Caenorhabditis elegans: one gene and its partner. The protein of the gene in region 2 purifies or fractionates together with the protein of the main gene of each other region. This does not show direct contact. Each region holds a gene or a part of one and is shown on either strand. Other genes may lie near its edges.

Evidence for each region.
Region 1: the proteins of F44B9.5 (region 2) and ndub-7 fractionate together in Caenorhabditis elegans (co-fractionation; one large-scale study listed by BioGRID). This does not show direct contact.

The regions. Positions count from the first base shown.
Region 1 is NC_003279.8:7,577,932-7,585,080, reverse strand, and holds ndub-7 (NADH dehydrogenase [ubiquinone] 1 beta subcomplex subunit 7), read left to right. Parts: upstream 1-3,452; 5' UTR 3,453-3,457; coding exon 3,458-3,571; intron 3,572-3,653; coding exon 3,654-3,758; intron 3,759-3,863; coding exon 3,864-4,016; 3' UTR 4,017-4,137; downstream 4,138-7,149. Other genes in the region: D2030.12 (DUF4129 domain-containing protein), read right to left, coding at 1-49, 94-275, 969-1,077; mce-1 (Methylmalonyl-CoA epimerase, mitochondrial), read right to left, coding at 2,055-2,354, 2,698-2,823, 2,898-2,960; D2030.3 (Fanconi anemia group I protein), read left to right, coding at 4,250-4,312, 4,393-4,807, 4,875-5,110, 5,554-5,823, 5,872-6,060, 6,109-6,462; D2030.2 (ATP-dependent Clp protease ATP-binding subunit clpX-like, mitochondrial), read right to left, coding at 6,743-6,845, 6,926-7,149.
Region 2 is NC_003281.10:8,008,084-8,018,215, reverse strand, and holds F44B9.5 (Lipid droplet-regulating VLDL assembly factor AUP1 homolog), read left to right. Parts: upstream 1-1,677; 5' UTR 1,678-1,678; coding exon 1,679-1,802; intron 1,803-1,869; coding exon 1,870-2,017; intron 2,018-2,572; coding exon 2,573-2,842; intron 2,843-3,183; coding exon 3,184-3,370; intron 3,371-3,414; coding exon 3,415-3,570; intron 3,571-3,619; coding exon 3,620-3,808; intron 3,809-4,228; coding exon 4,229-4,327; 3' UTR 4,328-4,463; downstream 4,464-10,132. Other genes in the region: Protein lin-36, read left to right, coding at 1-132, 199-656, 705-771, 987-1,094; cit-1.2 (Cyclin-T1.2), read right to left, coding at 4,931-5,090, 5,195-5,422, 5,506-6,189, 6,245-6,365, 6,441-6,703, 6,903-7,027, 7,341-7,427; cit-1.1 (Cyclin-T1.1), read left to right, coding at 8,414-8,491, 8,542-8,672, 8,728-8,809, 8,859-8,978, 9,107-9,167, 9,210-9,275, 9,326-9,377, 9,427-9,517 and 2 more.

The DNA of each region.
Region 1 (7,149 bases), on a different chromosome or scaffold from region 2:
TTGAACTCTTTCTGTATTTACCATCTTCAGTTGGCATCAAGAGAATTACCTGAAGCACAACGTTGATTTTATCGTCTTCAAACATGGTCTAACCTGAGGTGAAGGTTTATTTTCAATTGAGTGAATCCAATCACGAGCCTTGAATACAAGACATCGTATTCCAAATGCACTGAGCCGAATGATGAGAAGTATAAGTAAAATTGATAATATAACAAGAACAACTTTAATATATGATGATAGTGAGATGGCTTCTGTTACAATTGAGTCGACTTCGGCTGAAATTTTTCGGAAATTTCATGAGTAAATGATAAAAGTTATGACTTTAAATAAATCTTATATTAGGTAGGCGCCTAAAAATGAGAATTCATCTCAAGCACATTGGTCTCGCCACGCTCGCAATGGGTTACTGTAACTTGTCTCGATTCAACGCTATTGCATACGTAATATTCTTGTTTGAAGAATGTTTGCACCAATTCTTAATTTGATTTGTAAATAATAATACAAATAAATGCTCCATAAAATGGCACGAGTTACAGTAACACGTGGTCATTGTGGCCCATGTGCGTAAGGAATTTCTTGTAGAAATGGCGAAAAATCACATTTTTAAAGGTCTACACAATTGTAGTAATCAATTTAAAATGACGTCATCATGAACAGGAGTATCGATTTTTCGGTTGTTTTTAACTCATTATAATGTTAATTTTTATGATTAAAATTAAGTTTCTTTTGAAAATATAAAATTGTTTTAAATCATCAAATTCGTCATTTTTGTTCTAGAGTTTCCTAGTTTTTTCTGTGCATGTCATTTTCAATTTACGATATTTTCGATTATCAGAAACATTGAAAAATCCAAAACTTTCGACGAGATCACTCAATTTCGAACGTTCTTTTCCATGCATTATATTCAAACCAGATTTAGAAAAGAACATTGATCTACGATCTCCTGTTCGTTTATATTTTGAACTAACTTGTGATATTAAATGAAAGTCGTGTGAATTCTTCTTCAAATTTATCTCCAAGATCGCCAGCTTTATCAGTAACTGATTTGAATAATCGAGTACCAAGATTGTTCAACATTAGATAATCTTTTAAATTGTTGAAATGAGGAATATGTTTGGCAGAGGATGATGATGAATCACCAGAATTGACGACAACAACTTGTTTTCAACTTGTGGTGGTGATCGAAGGTATACGAACAATTCGCGCGCATCGATTGAAGAACCGAAAAAGGTCGTTTTCTAATTGGAAACGAGGGAGAGGAAAAGAGACTGAACGATGTTGAATAACTGAATAAAACTGTGAAACGATGTTTACCGAGCTTTTTCGCAAACACTTTGGACATCTTTGGATTGAAATTCTTTTCGTCTTATTTGGAAAAATATTTTTCTAAAAAAGAATTTCCCTCTTTCAAATAGGTGCGTAGTATATCCACTAGAATTTCAGGATTGACGGCTCAGGGACCATCTTATACTGATTATGTCATAGATGTAATTTTGTTTTTGATTTCTGATTATTGACATTCTTCGCTTAAGTCTGAAATTTCTAAGAGTGTAGTTCATACAGTTTTGATTTTCTTCTTTTTTTTCCAAATCCTAATCCACTGTAACTTTTCTGAAAATAGGTTTTTTTCATATTACCCATAAATTTTACATTCTTTTCTGATATGTTTTTTCGTAGTTTTTCGCTTTAAAATTCAAATTATATTTTTGAAAACATGTAAACGAATTTATATTTTGAAAATTTAATGAAACAATTTATTGAAGTTGTAGGCAATTATTATGGCACAAGAAACAATAAAACATGTGAACAGATTAAAACGTATCAAAAATTAATCTCTATGCAAAATACTGGGTGCTAAAAGAAAGGTTTATAGTTTTTTTTTTTGTAATTTATATCATATTATCGATTTTTCAAAAGTTATAGGCTGCCAATAAAAAATTTTGAGAGAACTTTTGCGAAATTTAAAATTTGTGAAGTTTCTCACAAAAAAGTGAAGATCAAAACTTTGTCAAACAGATAATATGATTGCTAGATTTTGGGAACAAAGAATCAAATTATTCCTGCTCGAGTTCAATAAGTACACCTCCACAATCCTTTGGATGCAAGAACATTACTTCTTTTCCATGAGCTCCAATTTTTGGTTTCTCACCCAAAGTACGAATTCCTTTTGTTTTAACAGCAGAAACAGCTTCATGAATATCACGAACTTCAATACAAATATGATGCATTCCACCGTCCTTATTCTTATTCAAAAAAGCTTGAATTGGAGATTTCTCGCCGAATGGATGAAGAAGCTCGATTTTTGAGTTTGGAAGCTCAACGAAGACAGTGTAGACTCCATGTTCTGGTTGTGGCTGTAATTATTCAATTCAAAAATTTTAATATAAACTAGATGAGACATTTTATTTTTTATTTGCGGATTTTTATCATTTTTATGAAAAAACTTGTAATTAAATAAATATTTTTCAAGTAAGTTTACTGTAGTACACAAAATTCGCTTCATTCGCATTTTATTTCATTTTTCAGTTGTAGGGGTTTTTCCAAAATTTTTCGTTTTTTGTTATGCTATTTCAAAATTTTAGGCTATTCAATTTTTATTTTGATTTATGCTACAAAGAATTTAACAAAAATATTTTCTACATATTTTTGCTCTAAATTTTTATTGACATTAGGAAGAAACAAAAATTAAAGACTAACCACAGCCTCGCTAACTTTTGCTCCGAGGCCCTTGTAGAATTCCGATGATTTCTTGAGATCTGGTGTGGCAATGGCGACGTGGTTCAACTTTCCGAGAAGTCCTGCCAATGGATGGGAAGCCATGGTCTGAAAAGTCAAAATTTTTAAAGTAAAAAAGCGATTATCTAATAGTTTTCATCAGAAAAAATAGAAAAACCTACTCTTGTGGACAGCGAAAGCTTAGCAGAATTGACAAGGGCGAGTGTAGAACGGAAGGATGCCATTTTCAAAAGAAGAATCTATAAACATGGTTACTGTACTTTAATAAAATTTATAAAACTCGAAAAATGCTAAGTAATAAGCGTTTAAATGATTGAAACATCTGTGAGAAAATGAAAAGTAACAGAAACAAACAAAAGTTTAGATAAGAAAATGTTTTTGACATTGAAAATTCGGTCAATGAACCCGCTGTAAACTTGCTTTTTGCACGCACTCACTTTGATTACAACGACACTCCGATATTACACAAGTGCTTGTTGTTTATCTTATTTTATTTCGGGCAATTTTTGTGCCAATTTTCAGCTTTACTTTGTTTTTAACGTTTTAGAAGAATATTTTCCGGAAAAATATGTTAAATTATTAAAATATAAATTGTTCACTTCTTATCAGCAAAGCATTCGCTGCCCTAAGCATGCTAATTATTTATTTTGAGTTGATTCAAATATCAGAAGAGTTTTGATGCTTTCTTTATTTTGTACCAATTCCTTTTTTTTCAGCCAAGATGGGAACTAAACTGTCCGTCTCATTGGAAGGAGCCAGTACACCAGAAACCGCGCCACGTGTCGACAGACCACCAACTTTCGATCCTCAGTATGGATTCGAGCGACCGAGAAAGGTAAACAACTTTTTTAAAAGTTCATTAAATAACTGTTCATTTAATTCATAAATATTCAATATAATAAAGTTTAATATTCAAGGTCCGCGAGATGAAGGCTACTTGGGAAGAGATGGAGCAGTGGAAGTTGAAGCCAGCTCAACGCGATTATTGTGCTCACCACTTGATTTCACTCATGAAATGCCAAGTAAGATTTTTGTTTTAGTTACAATGATATATTTTTAAAATTATATAAAAATACACATCTAAAATTATTTTCTCAAAAACAGCAAAAATAATTTATTATATTCAGACCCAAAATGCACCATTTGCCGGACACGCGTGCGACGGAGAACGTGGAGCTTGGGATAAATGTGAATATGATGATCATATCATGAGAATCAAAGAATTCGAACGTGAACGACGATTGCTTCAAAGACAGGCTCGCAAAGAAGCCACTGCTTGAATAGATGTCGATGAGATATTTCTTTAAATGATTTTTGATAATAGTATAGTTTTTTGTGAATACTATGTGTCTTTTGTTTCGTTTCTTTTTCTCTCGATTTCGGATAAATATTGAGTCGTACACTTTTTTTTAATGTTGAAAATTTTTTTGTTGTTCGTATCATTTGTAATATATCTATGCTATAATGATTCCGATTAGTTTTCCATATTATAATTTAAAAACACCTTTCAGAGATGACCGAAATCCGAAAAGTCGTCCAAGAAACAATGGTTGGAAAACCAGAAGACGAAATTCAGGTTAGAAATTGTCAAATTTTTTTGAATTATCTAAAAACCTACATATTCTGTCATGGATCCATTCATCAAATAAGTTTCAGACTTTCGAAAAATGTCTCCGTCTCGTTGGATCCAATCGAACACGTAAAGAACAAGAACTAGGATTTTGTCTTATGTCGAGAATGATCATCAAATGTTCTTCACAAACTCTACGAGCAGTTCAATCGCGATTGGCTAATCGACTTGCTCATATCTCGGATCATTTTCAATTATGTGGATCACTTTATACTCGAGAACTTCTTGTTAGAAATCCGCAAGCTGGAGAACTTCATTCTCCAATTGTATTCAAGATTATTCTTAATTGCATGGATGCTGCTGCACAAACAAGTGATCCCAATATTCGTGGATTGGCTGCTGAACTGTTTGGATTGAGAATTAGCAATCAGAATCTAACAATGTTGTTGAATACGCTTGAAGTTTTGTTGAGTGCAACCAAGATTAAAAATGTATCAAATGGTTAGTAATTTTATCAACAAAAAAAAGTACAACTCTATTGGCACGTAAAATCTGAATTTATTTTCAGATCTCCTTCAGCTTAGAACATTGGGAGTGTCTTCTCATCGAGATTCGCTGACTTCTCTTCTTTTTGAAGTTCTCGCACTTTCACTCGGATACGCTTCAAAGCCGGGATTATTTGTAGAACGAAAAGATATAATTCAAGTTATTGAATTGGGAATTAATAATCCGAAAAATCGATCTGTTGCATTTGCATGTCTCCGTTCAATGTGTGTAAACACGAAGTATTCACTTATTCCAATGGTAAGCTTTAAAAATGTATTTTCAGATAAAAAAAATAGTACCCGGCCTCGACGCGCCTTTTTGTTAAATACAAATGGGTGTGCGCCTTTAAGAGTACTGTAATTTCAATATTTCGTTGATGCGAAATTTTTACTGATTTTTCATAGTTTTTTCATTCAAAGTTTTTTTTTGTGAAATGAAACTACTAAAAACATCAATTCTACAAATTGTGAGAAAAACTATGAAAACTCCGCAGCAACCAAAGTTTGAAATTACAGTACTCTTGAAGGCGCACACCCGTTTGTGTTTTAAAAACTTTGTCGTTTCGAGACCGGCCATATTTTTGGAGATTTTGTTTTATTTTGAAATGTCAAAAATGAAAGGTAAAGGAAGTTTAATGGAATAACTCAATTCTTATAAATTCGAATTACATGTTTTCTTTAATGAAATCTAATTTTTCACAGATCGGCAGAATCGTATCTACTCTGATTTCTGAACTTGAATCGCCCGACGTTGATTTAATCAAAACTCTTGCATTCATTTCGAAAACGTTTGGACCTGTCACTTCAACACTTTACAAACATTTCTATGTAATCTTCACTGCATTGAAGCATCCAATTCATGAGCAATGTTACGGAGAACACGTGGGAAATCTACTTTCCAGCATTATCGAATCGGCGGCTTCTCTCATTAAGCCAGAAGTGTTTGCCACTGTTCAAAAAGCAGTTTGTGAGGTAATTATAGAGTTTTTGAAAAAAATTATTTAAATAATACAATTACAGTCTGCCATTATGCATCCGGATAGTTCAATCTATCTTCAATTGCTTGCTGCATTCCTTACTTTGAACAATGAATATGTTCCATCTCCATTGCAAGTCGCTCGAGTTATTTCATCAAGAACTCGAAATACTTCTGAGCATTCTCATAGATTAAGAGCTCTTTGCAATGTTGCATCCCGCCCTAGAACTACGGTAAGAGAAATAGATTTTAAGTTAATTATAATATTGATTTTTGTTAAGGATCTTGCAAATGTGAAAGCCAAGAAAACACTTGTTCTCAAAGAGGAAAATACTATTCAAGCTCCAACTGCCGCGTCCGAAGATTTGAAGGAAAAGGAAGAAGTGGAGCAAGAATTTGAAGAAATGGAAACAGAAGATAAGGAAGAGGAGATTGTTCCAGTGGTGGTAGAGAAGAAAATAGAAGAGGTTCCAGAAGCTTCATCCAGAAAAAAGAAAAATAGTGAGAGCAGTACTACAGCCACTTCAACTGTGGCCAAAAAGAAGAAGAAGTCAGTGGTTAACGATGTTAAAACTAATCTTTTGGAAGGAGAAGCATCGGTTGATGATATTCTGAACCTTTTTGATATGTCTTAAAGTTTTCCCATTCCCATCGTTTTTTGTTTGTTATTTTCTTGTTGTTGCCTGTTATGAAAATCTGACGATATTATTCAAAGTTATATATGTACATAGGAGAAAAAAAATGATAGGAGACAATAATCAAACTAAAATGCCTACAGAAAAAACAGACGAAACCGCAGTGGAGATTCGTGTGAAAAGAGTGTACAGATACGAATAGGATTCGTTTAAAAAAAAGAAAACCCATAGAATAAAAAATGATTAGAATAATAAATCAGATGGAAATCAAAATGAGTCTCTAAGCGACAGCCGACTTCTTCATAGGTGAAACGTCTTCTTCTTCAACAACTTGGGATTTACGTCGTGAATATTCAACCTCTTTCTCACCAAGGATTGCTTCTCTGAAAATTAGAAAAATTTAATGAGAACATTGTGTTTTTCATTTATTTTCTAGATTTCTGATTTTTGAAATTAGCCGTACCTGCTAACATGTACAGATTCGATGTCAGATCCGGGAACGGTGAACTTCGCTTCTAACAGAGCGGCTTCAAGAATTGACCGAAGAGCACGTGCTCCCGTCTTTCTGTCGAGAGCCAGTTGAGCGACTTGTTCGAGAGCTTCAGCAGAGAATGAGAGATCTACGTTGTCAATTCCGAATTGCAATTTCAGTTGTGCAAGAAGGGAGTTTTGTGGCTCTGTCATTAC
Region 2 (10,132 bases):
TCACTTGGTGGAGGACGTTCATTATCTTCTGGAGTCATATCAAGACCACCAACTTCATCCTCTCCTGGCGGGATCTTTTCTCAAAGAGTTATGGGAGCTGTTGCACAAGAAAAAGGGCCTGCTAAGAGACCGGTAAGTTTAATATATTAGAATTATTTATTAGGAGACTTTGATATTTTTTCTAATTTATTGCTTCAGAGTGTGCTCTCCCGAAGACCACTGATCCTTTCACCACGAAAAAAAACATCAACTCCACGACCAACACTCTCCCATCACGAGTCATCGCCAAACTTCTCAGCATCTTCTCCGGTGGTTGTTTCTGATGAGTATCTGATTCCAGCAACGGATATGGAAGTTGAAATGGTCGAAGAAGTCATTGATTCTATGGGAAACTCATCGTCTGAAGATGTTGCCACTTCTTCAACATCTTCCGAGAGGCAACCGATGCTTACGCTGGCAGAGGCTCTTGAGATGGATGGTTCAAGTGGAACAGTTAAAGATCAAGATATGGAAGAAATCTCAAAAGAAATGATGAAAGATGCTCATTACTACAGAGCAATGGAAGACGCTATCAAATGTCGCACCGTGACGAAAATGCGCGCTGACATGAGACTTTCCCGTCATTGCATCCGGCAAATTGAAGCTGCGAGAGCCAGGTGAGCCCATGGGAGGTCTACTTTGATAAATCGTTTAATTTTTTGCAGAGCTCGTCTGTTTGGCGAAAGGACTGAAGATTATCAAATTTTCTACTCTAACGATGGAGCACAAGTGGTATGTTTTTATTAGTTTCAATTCTGAATTTTAGTAACAATTTTCGTTTTTTAAAAGATTTTATTTATGTTGTTCTCAATTTGAAACCATTTGCTTTGAAAAAATTCCGATTGAAACATCAAAAATCACTGATCACAACACAATTTATTTTAAAAACATGTTTTCTCCGCTATTTGGCGTTATCAATCAGTTTGTTTCATTCTTATGATTTTCAGCTCACCAAAAAAGATCCAAAATGGCGTGAACTTCAACAACAACAACAACAACAACAACAGCAGCAAGAACAATTTCCAGGACAAGGATCATCGGATTCTCAACAATAATTATTTTTAATTATCAAAGAAAGTGCCTCAAAATTCAAGATTCAAAAGTCAATTGTCCTTTCGAGGATCGCCCCACATTTCTTTCATGTGAACTATCTCTGTTTTATATCCACAGAAGTTATCCCATTTTACTTTCATTCGAAATTCTTGAAATCTGATAAAAACTCCGACTAGGATAGATTTTCGTCTAGATTTTTAGGATTTTCACATTTACTTTTTTCCCATTTTTTACCCCCCCTCCCCCCTATAATTTACTTTCCAAAATTAATAGTTTGTTTTACTTTCCATAAGCCCCCGCCCCCTCCCCAAAAACCACACTTTTTCTATCATAAATTAATCTGAATTATTCACAAAAAATGAGCCAAAGTCTATTTAAACGTTTCCCTAGTTTTCAATTACATTCAAGTTTGAAAGATATGTGCGTTTGTGTGCCAAATATGACTAAAAGTCAATAAATAAATGATTTTGCTTGGTAGGTTTTTGAAAAGAGTTTTCAGATTATTTTTTCTATAGGCTACCTGATTATCCATAACATTATATTTTGAAAAAACCATGAAAAATTTAAAAAAATCCTAAAATTTAGAATGGCATCACCAGAAGCATCGTCTTCTGGAAATACAGAAGATCTTCGTATCGAAGATTTATTCCATCAAAAACGAAATGAAGATACGATTGCTAAAATATTTTCGATTATTTATGCTCCAGTTGGTGAGATTTTTTTCAAATTTTTTGACACATTCCAAAAAGTAAAAGTTTTAAAAAATCAAAATTTCAGGTTTAATTATTCTTTTAATTCGTGTTTTCCTCGGTTTCCACACATTTATTGTTGCATGTCTACTCAGAAAATCTGCTGCTTTGAGAATGCACACTCTTCGAATTATGTGCTCAATTCTCGGAATTGTCGTTGAAAAATCTGGTCACAGGTTTGTGATTTTTTTTTTGAAAAATATTTGATATCTCCAAAAAAATAGAAACAAGTTACTGAAAAATTGGAAGCTTGCCGTATTGCCCAGGCGCAAATTTTTTTGCGACTTCTGTCCCAAAAGTGAGGTACCTGGTCTCGAAATGACAATTTTTTTGTTAAATACAAAAACATGTGCGCCTTTAAAGAGTACGGTAGCTTTAAAATTTCGTTACTGTGGATTCATTGATTTTTCATAGTTTTTCTTACGATTTTTGTTAAAATCAATGTGTTTTAAGTGTTATTTTAGTTTTAAAAATTTATTTTAACGAAAAAACTTTGAAAAATTGATTTCAAAAATTCCGCAGCAACAAAAGTTCCATATATCCATTTATATTTTACAAAAAAAAAGTTTTTCAAGACCCGGGTGCTGTACTTTTTTTGCAAAATGAAATTCGGTAATTTTTAGTGTATCTAAAAAAAATTAAAAAAAAAAGGTCACTAACTATTCCTTAAAATGTTTTTTGCTTGCCGAGATATTCACAACTTCTTAGTATTAAAAAAAAAAGATTTTCAGAGATGAATCAGCTCGAGTTTTGTGCGCCAATCATGTATCAATTCTTGATCATTTAGCAGTTGATATTCTTACTCCATGCCTTCTTCCATCTGTTTGGGATATTCCATCGATTATTAGATGGTGTTTTGGATATGTAGATTTGGGAGCAACACGTGGAAGAGATCAACTTGTCAGTAGAGCCAAACAACTACTCACCAGAGAACAAATGCCACTTCTCGCATTTCCAGAAGGAATTATTACTAGTGGAGAAAAGGCATTGATCAAGTTTAAGTATGTCATTTGAACTTTCCAAATATTTTGTGATTTCGATTTCAAGATTTTTCAGCTAAAAATATGGTTTGTCACTACAAATTTGTGAAAAAAAATCTAAAAATCTTTTTACGCATTTTCATCAATTTTTCATAGTTTTTTTCATAAAATATAAAATTCACATTTTTAATGAAAAACTATGCAAAATCGATGAAAATTCAGCATAAATTAGGATTTTAAATTACAGTACTCTTTAAAGGCGCACACTTTTTGTCGGATAAAGAATTGTCATGTCAAGACCGGGTACCGTAGTTTTGGCGCAAAAATCATGAATCTCGAACCCAAATCTACTAAATTTTCAGTACTTGGTGTTTCGAGGTGTCTTCAGTAGTTCAACCCGTCTCAGTGCGTGTGTGGCGTCCGTATCCTTGGAAAGTTTCAGTTTCAGTATTGGGTTCTTCATGGTGGACTGATCTTTTCTATTTCTTTGCACTTCCGTTTACTGTTATCACTGTCGAATATCTTCCGAAAATGGAAAGACGAGAGAATGTAAAGAAAAATTGGAATTTCCAAATAAAAACAATTATTTCTAGGAATCACTCGAAGAATTCACCGCCCGAGTTGCCGAAACGTTGGCTGGAAATTTGAAGATTGCAGTGTCAAAGTTTGGAATTTCGGACGCAACAGAAGCAGCAAAACGGCTTAGAACAGATAGAGAACGTGCGAAAAAAGTTGTCGTTAGAGAGAAGGTATTTGTTTCCAATAATTTGTTTTCTTTAAAAAATGAAAATTTTCAAGACTTCACCTAGACTTGCGGATCCTCGTCAAATGGACGAATGTGCAATGAGAATCAAACAATCATTTCCATCATTCCATTTATCTGCAATTCGACGTGATTTGGAGAAAACTCGTAGTCAAACTACAACTGTTAATAATTTGAAAGCTGGTAAAATTTCATCATCAGCATCGGATGGTCAAACTGGAAAGGTTAGGAACTACAAATTCGATGAATTGCCCAGAAATACTGAGATTTTTAAGCCTAAGACTACTGTACCCGGTCTCAACACGACAATTTTTTGTAAAATACAAACCGCCGTGTGTCTTTAAAGAGAACTGTAATTTAAAACTTTCGTAGCTGACAGAATTTTCATCGATTTTCAGTTGTTCGACACAAATACATTCATTTATTGGAAAAACTAAATTAAAACAATAAAAAACATAAATTTTAATAAATCGTGAGAGTAAATATGACAAATCGATGAAAATACCTCAGCTACCAAAAGGTTGAAACTACAGTACTCTCTAAAGGCGCACATCCGTTTTGTATTTAGCAAAAACTGTTGTGTCGAACCCAGGTATCGTAGTTTTGACATTAAATATGAAGAATATCTAAATAACAATTTTCAGGTTACATTGGACGCTGGTACGTGGCGTGGAGTATTCGACAATCGAAAATGGCAGATGATCGAAGTTAATCGCCAAAAATACATGAACCGCGATTCTTAAATTTTCAAATTAGATTATTCGATTTTTCTTTGGATTTTAAAACCTTTTAGTCATCATGCCTTGTCATTTCCTTTGCCTGTTCGATTAATTTATTGCATATGCTTTGTCTATTAATGAAAAAAAAACGTTTATTATTATACAAAGTAGAGTTTACAAGTATATATATATATATAAGGAAACGAAGTCTGAAACATCGAAAAGCGGGAAGAGTCAAGATAGATAAAGACTTTTTTTGTATTTTTTTAGTTTATCCCGTAGATTTAGTTGCCAAAAAAGGAAAATAATACCGTTGAAACAAATCAAATGAAAAATAAGGAAGACAGTGAAACTGATAAAAAACGAAACGAGAGGATCGAGATCATTATTTGATAAGATAGAAATATGAAAAGAAAGAAAAAAAGGTGAGAATAGTATCTAAAAGTCGACAACAAGAGTGGAAACCGGTGAGAACGAGGAAGGACAAGAGAAGGAAAAAGGAAAAAAAATGAAGAGGAAAAAAGAAACATTGAATAAAAATGCGGAAAGAAAACCTACTGTACATCAGGAATTGAACCCAAATAAAGAGCAAAGTAGAAGAAACGGAAATAACAGTGAGGGAAGCTCTTAAACGAGCTCCCCTTCCTCCATCTCATCCAGCCGGGGTGGCAAGATTGGCGGCGGTGGAGGTGGCGGCAGTAGTATCTGTGATACAGGTGGGGAAGGCTCATCAGGAGGTGATATTTGTTGCGTTGATGACATCGTATGTCGAGAATCGGCCGGATTTCTGCAACTGAGGAAAGATTATATTAATCATTTTCCAAGCTAACTCCAAGTCGTCTTTCAATTAACTTGTTAAAACTGATAAGTGTTGCTTTTAATTTAACTTACCGTTGATACTCCATACACATTTTTTGATATGTGGAAGGTTGGGCAGATACCGACATGAGAGGAGGCGGAGCGACTTGATTTAACATCATTTCGTTTACTCCTCGAGCATATGTTGAAATGTTTTGCTGGTGCGTCGTTTGCGAAAAATGATCATTGTGCATAGTAGCTATGGTTGTTGATGACGAAGCAACGAAACTCATCTTGTAATCGATCCTTGGTTTTTTCGAACTGAAAAAGTTTAGTATTATACATTTTAGACTTTTCAGATCTGTTGAGGTATGTTCATGGAGGGAAAACATTATCAAGCGTACCTATTCGTCTCTTCGTACATCATTGACCTTTTCGCTGATCGAGAATCTTCGTTGTATGGCTTCTGATGTTGGTGTGCCGATAGACCGGATGAGGACCTATTCTGATGATTGCTATTGTTTGAAGCTGATGAAGACGTAGAATGGTGGTGAAGAGGATGAGAACTGCTGCTGGGACGGTGTCCGTTACGATGAATTTTCTGCTGAGCAGCTTCTTTCATCCTTTGTTCCATCAACTCTTGCTCGACTACCTTCTGATTCTTTACATCTGGCAGGAAACTCGGTCGCGTTGAAGGCGAATCAGAAGAATTGGAAAGTGGCTTCGGTCGGCCTTTATATGACTCCAAATCGATTTTCTTGAGATTAGACGACGATCCAGAAGGTGTTACTGTAGATGAGACTTGTGGCGGCATTCCGACAATTTTAACCTTTCCGAGTGGATCAATCTTTTTAAGAGACCCAATGTGGAATTGTGGATTTCGGCTGAAGATATCTAGGAATTCCTTAGTCATGGCCTCAACTTCTTCACGAGTCATTGACTGATCTTCTAGTCGGTACCACCTATCAGATAACTCAAATGGAACGATATCGTCCATGTTGATGTTATGAAAGAAGGCAGCTATGTTTACGCAAGCAGTTGCTATTGAAGCACATGAGTATCGCACACTCCAGTCGGTGATTATTAATCTGAAAAATTATATTAGTTGTAATAGTTGGCTCAAGTCAATTAAAGAAAACTTACACATCAGTGGCCATGTAATATGCAGTTTTCACCATATCCTTGTATACATTTCTACCTTTCTCGACATCGCGCATTAATTTTAGAACATACTGATGAGGTAGATCTACATTGATATCGAAGGCTGAAAATACAAAATGAAAAAATACTATTTTTTAATAGAAAAGTCAGTTCGGAAGGATATTGATAAAGAACTTACAAATGGTTTTGAGAAGTACATCCTCTATTAACGTGACGACATTACACTGATCTAAGAAGTGTTGCTCTGATTGAAACTGCTTATTGTGTGGATATTTGAACTGCCACAGTTGTGTAACCACATATTTCAGCTTCTTGGGTGCATCTTCGTTCTTTCCTGCCAAAAAGACACATGCTGCCGCCACGTCTCGGAAATCACACCGTTTGAGCGAGTGAACGTTGAAGAATCGGTTAAACAGAGTTGCCGCCACTCCACTCAGACCGCTGGAATATATCGCAGTGCTCGATGAGGAGAGAATCAAGACATTGTCTCGAAAAGATTAGGAAGCGAAAGAAATGATCACAAGAGATGGCGTTTTTATGAATTGTAAAACTATATGAACCCATCTAAATCCTAAATTTTACAATTCGCCTCACTTGAAATTCACTCGATTCTAAATCTTTATCCTATCACTGCACTCACTGCTCTCCTTTGCCATGTGTCAATTGCATGGCAATGTCAAAGATGAAGACTCCTCCTTGTTGTCGTTTTGACAGCTCCTCCTCGTATGTCATTCCTTCTCGTCGACTTGGAGTGTCCGCCAACATCTAAAAATTAAACATTTGAACACTGAACGGTATTATCGATTAGGTCCCAATAATGCTGGAAAATTTTGAACAACCATCAGTGAATTTTTTTTAGTGTTGCTCGTTTTCAAATGTTCCCCGATTGGTGGAATCTCCTAAAATTCTAATGTCAGCATGTACTAAATACAATTCGATGAAAATATATGTTAGAGTTTTTATGTACGAGCACAAGGACCCGGAAAATTATTTTACGAAAAACCACCAAAAATTTACTTTTTCTGGATAATTGGGAAATTTTTTACCAATAAATTGGAAAAATAAAAAGAAAACATACATCTTGCTTTTTTCGGAGCCAAGGATGAATCATTCTGCCATATCTGGACCCATTCTTCTCTGCGATCAATTTGTTCGAATTCGACATACTGATCAATGCTGAAAAAAATATATAAAAAAGAATATCAAATGTTCACGACGAAACACGATAAAAACAATAAATAGATACAAATAATCGATGAATGAAATGGAATTGCTGAGGGAGGAGAAGGAGGAATAAGCGACGGGACAGCGTCCAAAAATCGATATTACCTAGGAAAGACAAAAATTCGTAGTGGCCATTTACAGAATTATCTCCTGGCAATATCCGGTCAGGATACCGAACAATCGTCAAGACATAAAGGAAACTAGAAAACAACTATCACATGAGCAGAATAAACTTAAATTTCGAAATATTTCATAATTCTGGAACGGTTTTATTCGATAATACCTAGCTGAATTTGCACGAATACAGATCGATCCACTGATTAGCGCATATAAAACACGAACATCCAAATTGTGCTATTGAGAAATTGAAAATCCGAGAATATAAAAATTAGCAATAGCACTCTAGAAAAACGTAATTTTCTCCCGGGACCCGTTGCAAATCTTGGCAAACCTATGATTTTCTGGTTCAAAATAAGTTAAATTACTTAAAAAATCACAAAAACGTTAGAGTTTTTCGGCGAAATCGAAAAATGAACAGTGTTTTTCAGAAAACAAGGAAAAATGGTGTTAGTGATGCAAAAAAGGATTTTCACTCAATGTTCAATGTCAAAAATACATGTGAGCTGAAAAGCACGTGATAATGCAACACTTACGCTTGAAAAATACAGAAAATCGATAAAATTTAACTGAAAATCGGCTGAAAATGGGTAGGTGACTCAGAAAAAAAGCTTTGCCTGCCGCGACGCGACACGCAGCGCGTCCGCTTGAGCGCGCTTGTGTCGTCCAGGTTTCACATTAAAACTGGATTTTTGTGAAGCTTTTCACCGGAATTTTTTATTTTATGACAGTGAAAAATCAAATAATGTGTAATTTTTTGGGGAACTCTGGAAATTTATTCAGATTTTTAGAGAATTAAACTCAAATGCGATGTCGGTGTCGAGTCGAGGCGCGGCTTCCCCAGCACATCGGACCGCGCCAACCAAATGGCTCTTCACCAAAGAGGAGGTGCGAAAATTAGAATTAAAACTCAATAATTAATATTTTGAATTTTTAAGATGAAAAAGACAGCGAGCATTCAAGAAGGAATGAGCAGAGAAGAAGAACTAGCCTCCCGACAAATGGCCGCCGCGTTCATCCAAGAAATGATAGATGGATTGAACAATGTTAAAGATCCAAAAATGAAAATGTAACTTTTACAACGAAAACTTTATCAAAAAATGTTCTTGAAAATGCTTTTTCAGCGGTCACACGGGTCTTTGCGTTGCACATACACATATGCATCGCTTTTATTATTTGCATAGCTTCAAAAAGTATGATTATAGAGTAAGACCTTTATCCGTAAATTGAAAAAATTTTTAAAAATCCATTTCAGGACGTAGGTGCTGCTTGTGTATTTTTAGCGGGTAAAAGTCAGGAGTGTCCAAGAAAATTATCACATGTGATCAGTGTATGGCGGGAGCGAAAGGATAGAAAACAATTGACGACGGAAACTGTGAGTATAGAAATTAAGGTTTTTAAAGATTTTTTCCCCTATTTGTATTTCTAAAAACACTAGAAAGCACAATTGCAATACAAATTTCACGGGTCAAACTTTAGAAACCCGATTTCGTGATTTTTCAGGCTAGGAATGAAGCAGCCCAAATTATTGTTCTTCTGGAGAGCATGATTCTACAGACAATCGGTAAGAACTTTATCAGATTACTTTTAAATATAAAAATTTCAGCATTCGATCTCAACGTTCATCTTCCTCATATTTATGTTCTGGATATCATGAAAAAAGTTGATAAAAGTAAATTGTTAATTTTGAAAAGAAAACAAATAACTGAACATTATTTTCAGAAGAGCATTATCGACCTTTGACATCTTGCGCCTACTATTTTGCCACAGACGTGTATGTTTTCAAAATCATAAATTCAAATGTAATAATTTTTAAATTTCAGAATAGCTGTAACAGACTGGTCACTTCGATATTCTGCAGCGTCAATGTCTATTGTAATTATTCATTTAATGGCAGCCTATGCCAATGTCCGGGTGAGATTTAGAAAAAAATGGTAGTAAAATTGCTTAGAGAAAGATTTCCAAAAATTTTTGAAAAGTAAAATAATCATTAACAATTAATCTAAATTTCAGATAGAGCGATTATTTGCCGATTTCATCAATGAAGATTCACCGTGGTATGCGAAATTTGACGAAACAATGACGAACGAGAAGCTGAGAGGTTCGTAAAATTCGAATTTAACAAAAAAAAACGACATTTAAAGTGCATCAAATTTTGATTTATGGATGCTCGAAATTTAATCAATTTTTTAGTGAGAAGGTTTTTGAGCTGTAAAAATAAATCCTGAATGTTTTTGAAATAAAATACATTTTAAAGTTTTTTTTTAAGTATAAAGTTTCGTTAAAAAAAATAGAATTTACGGTGGAGTATCGTGAATTTTGCTTGAAATTGCCAGAATAGGCTTAAATTTAAAAAAAAAATCATTTAGAGCGTACTCAGGAGCAGTTTTAAAAGTTCGATTTTTGGTTTTTTTTAAAGCGAAATCCCTATTTAAGCAAGACAACATGTTATTAAAATATTTATGAAAAATGGTTTTTTTTTCAGAAATGGAAGTAGATTTCCTTGTAACATATCGGAATTCCTGTCAA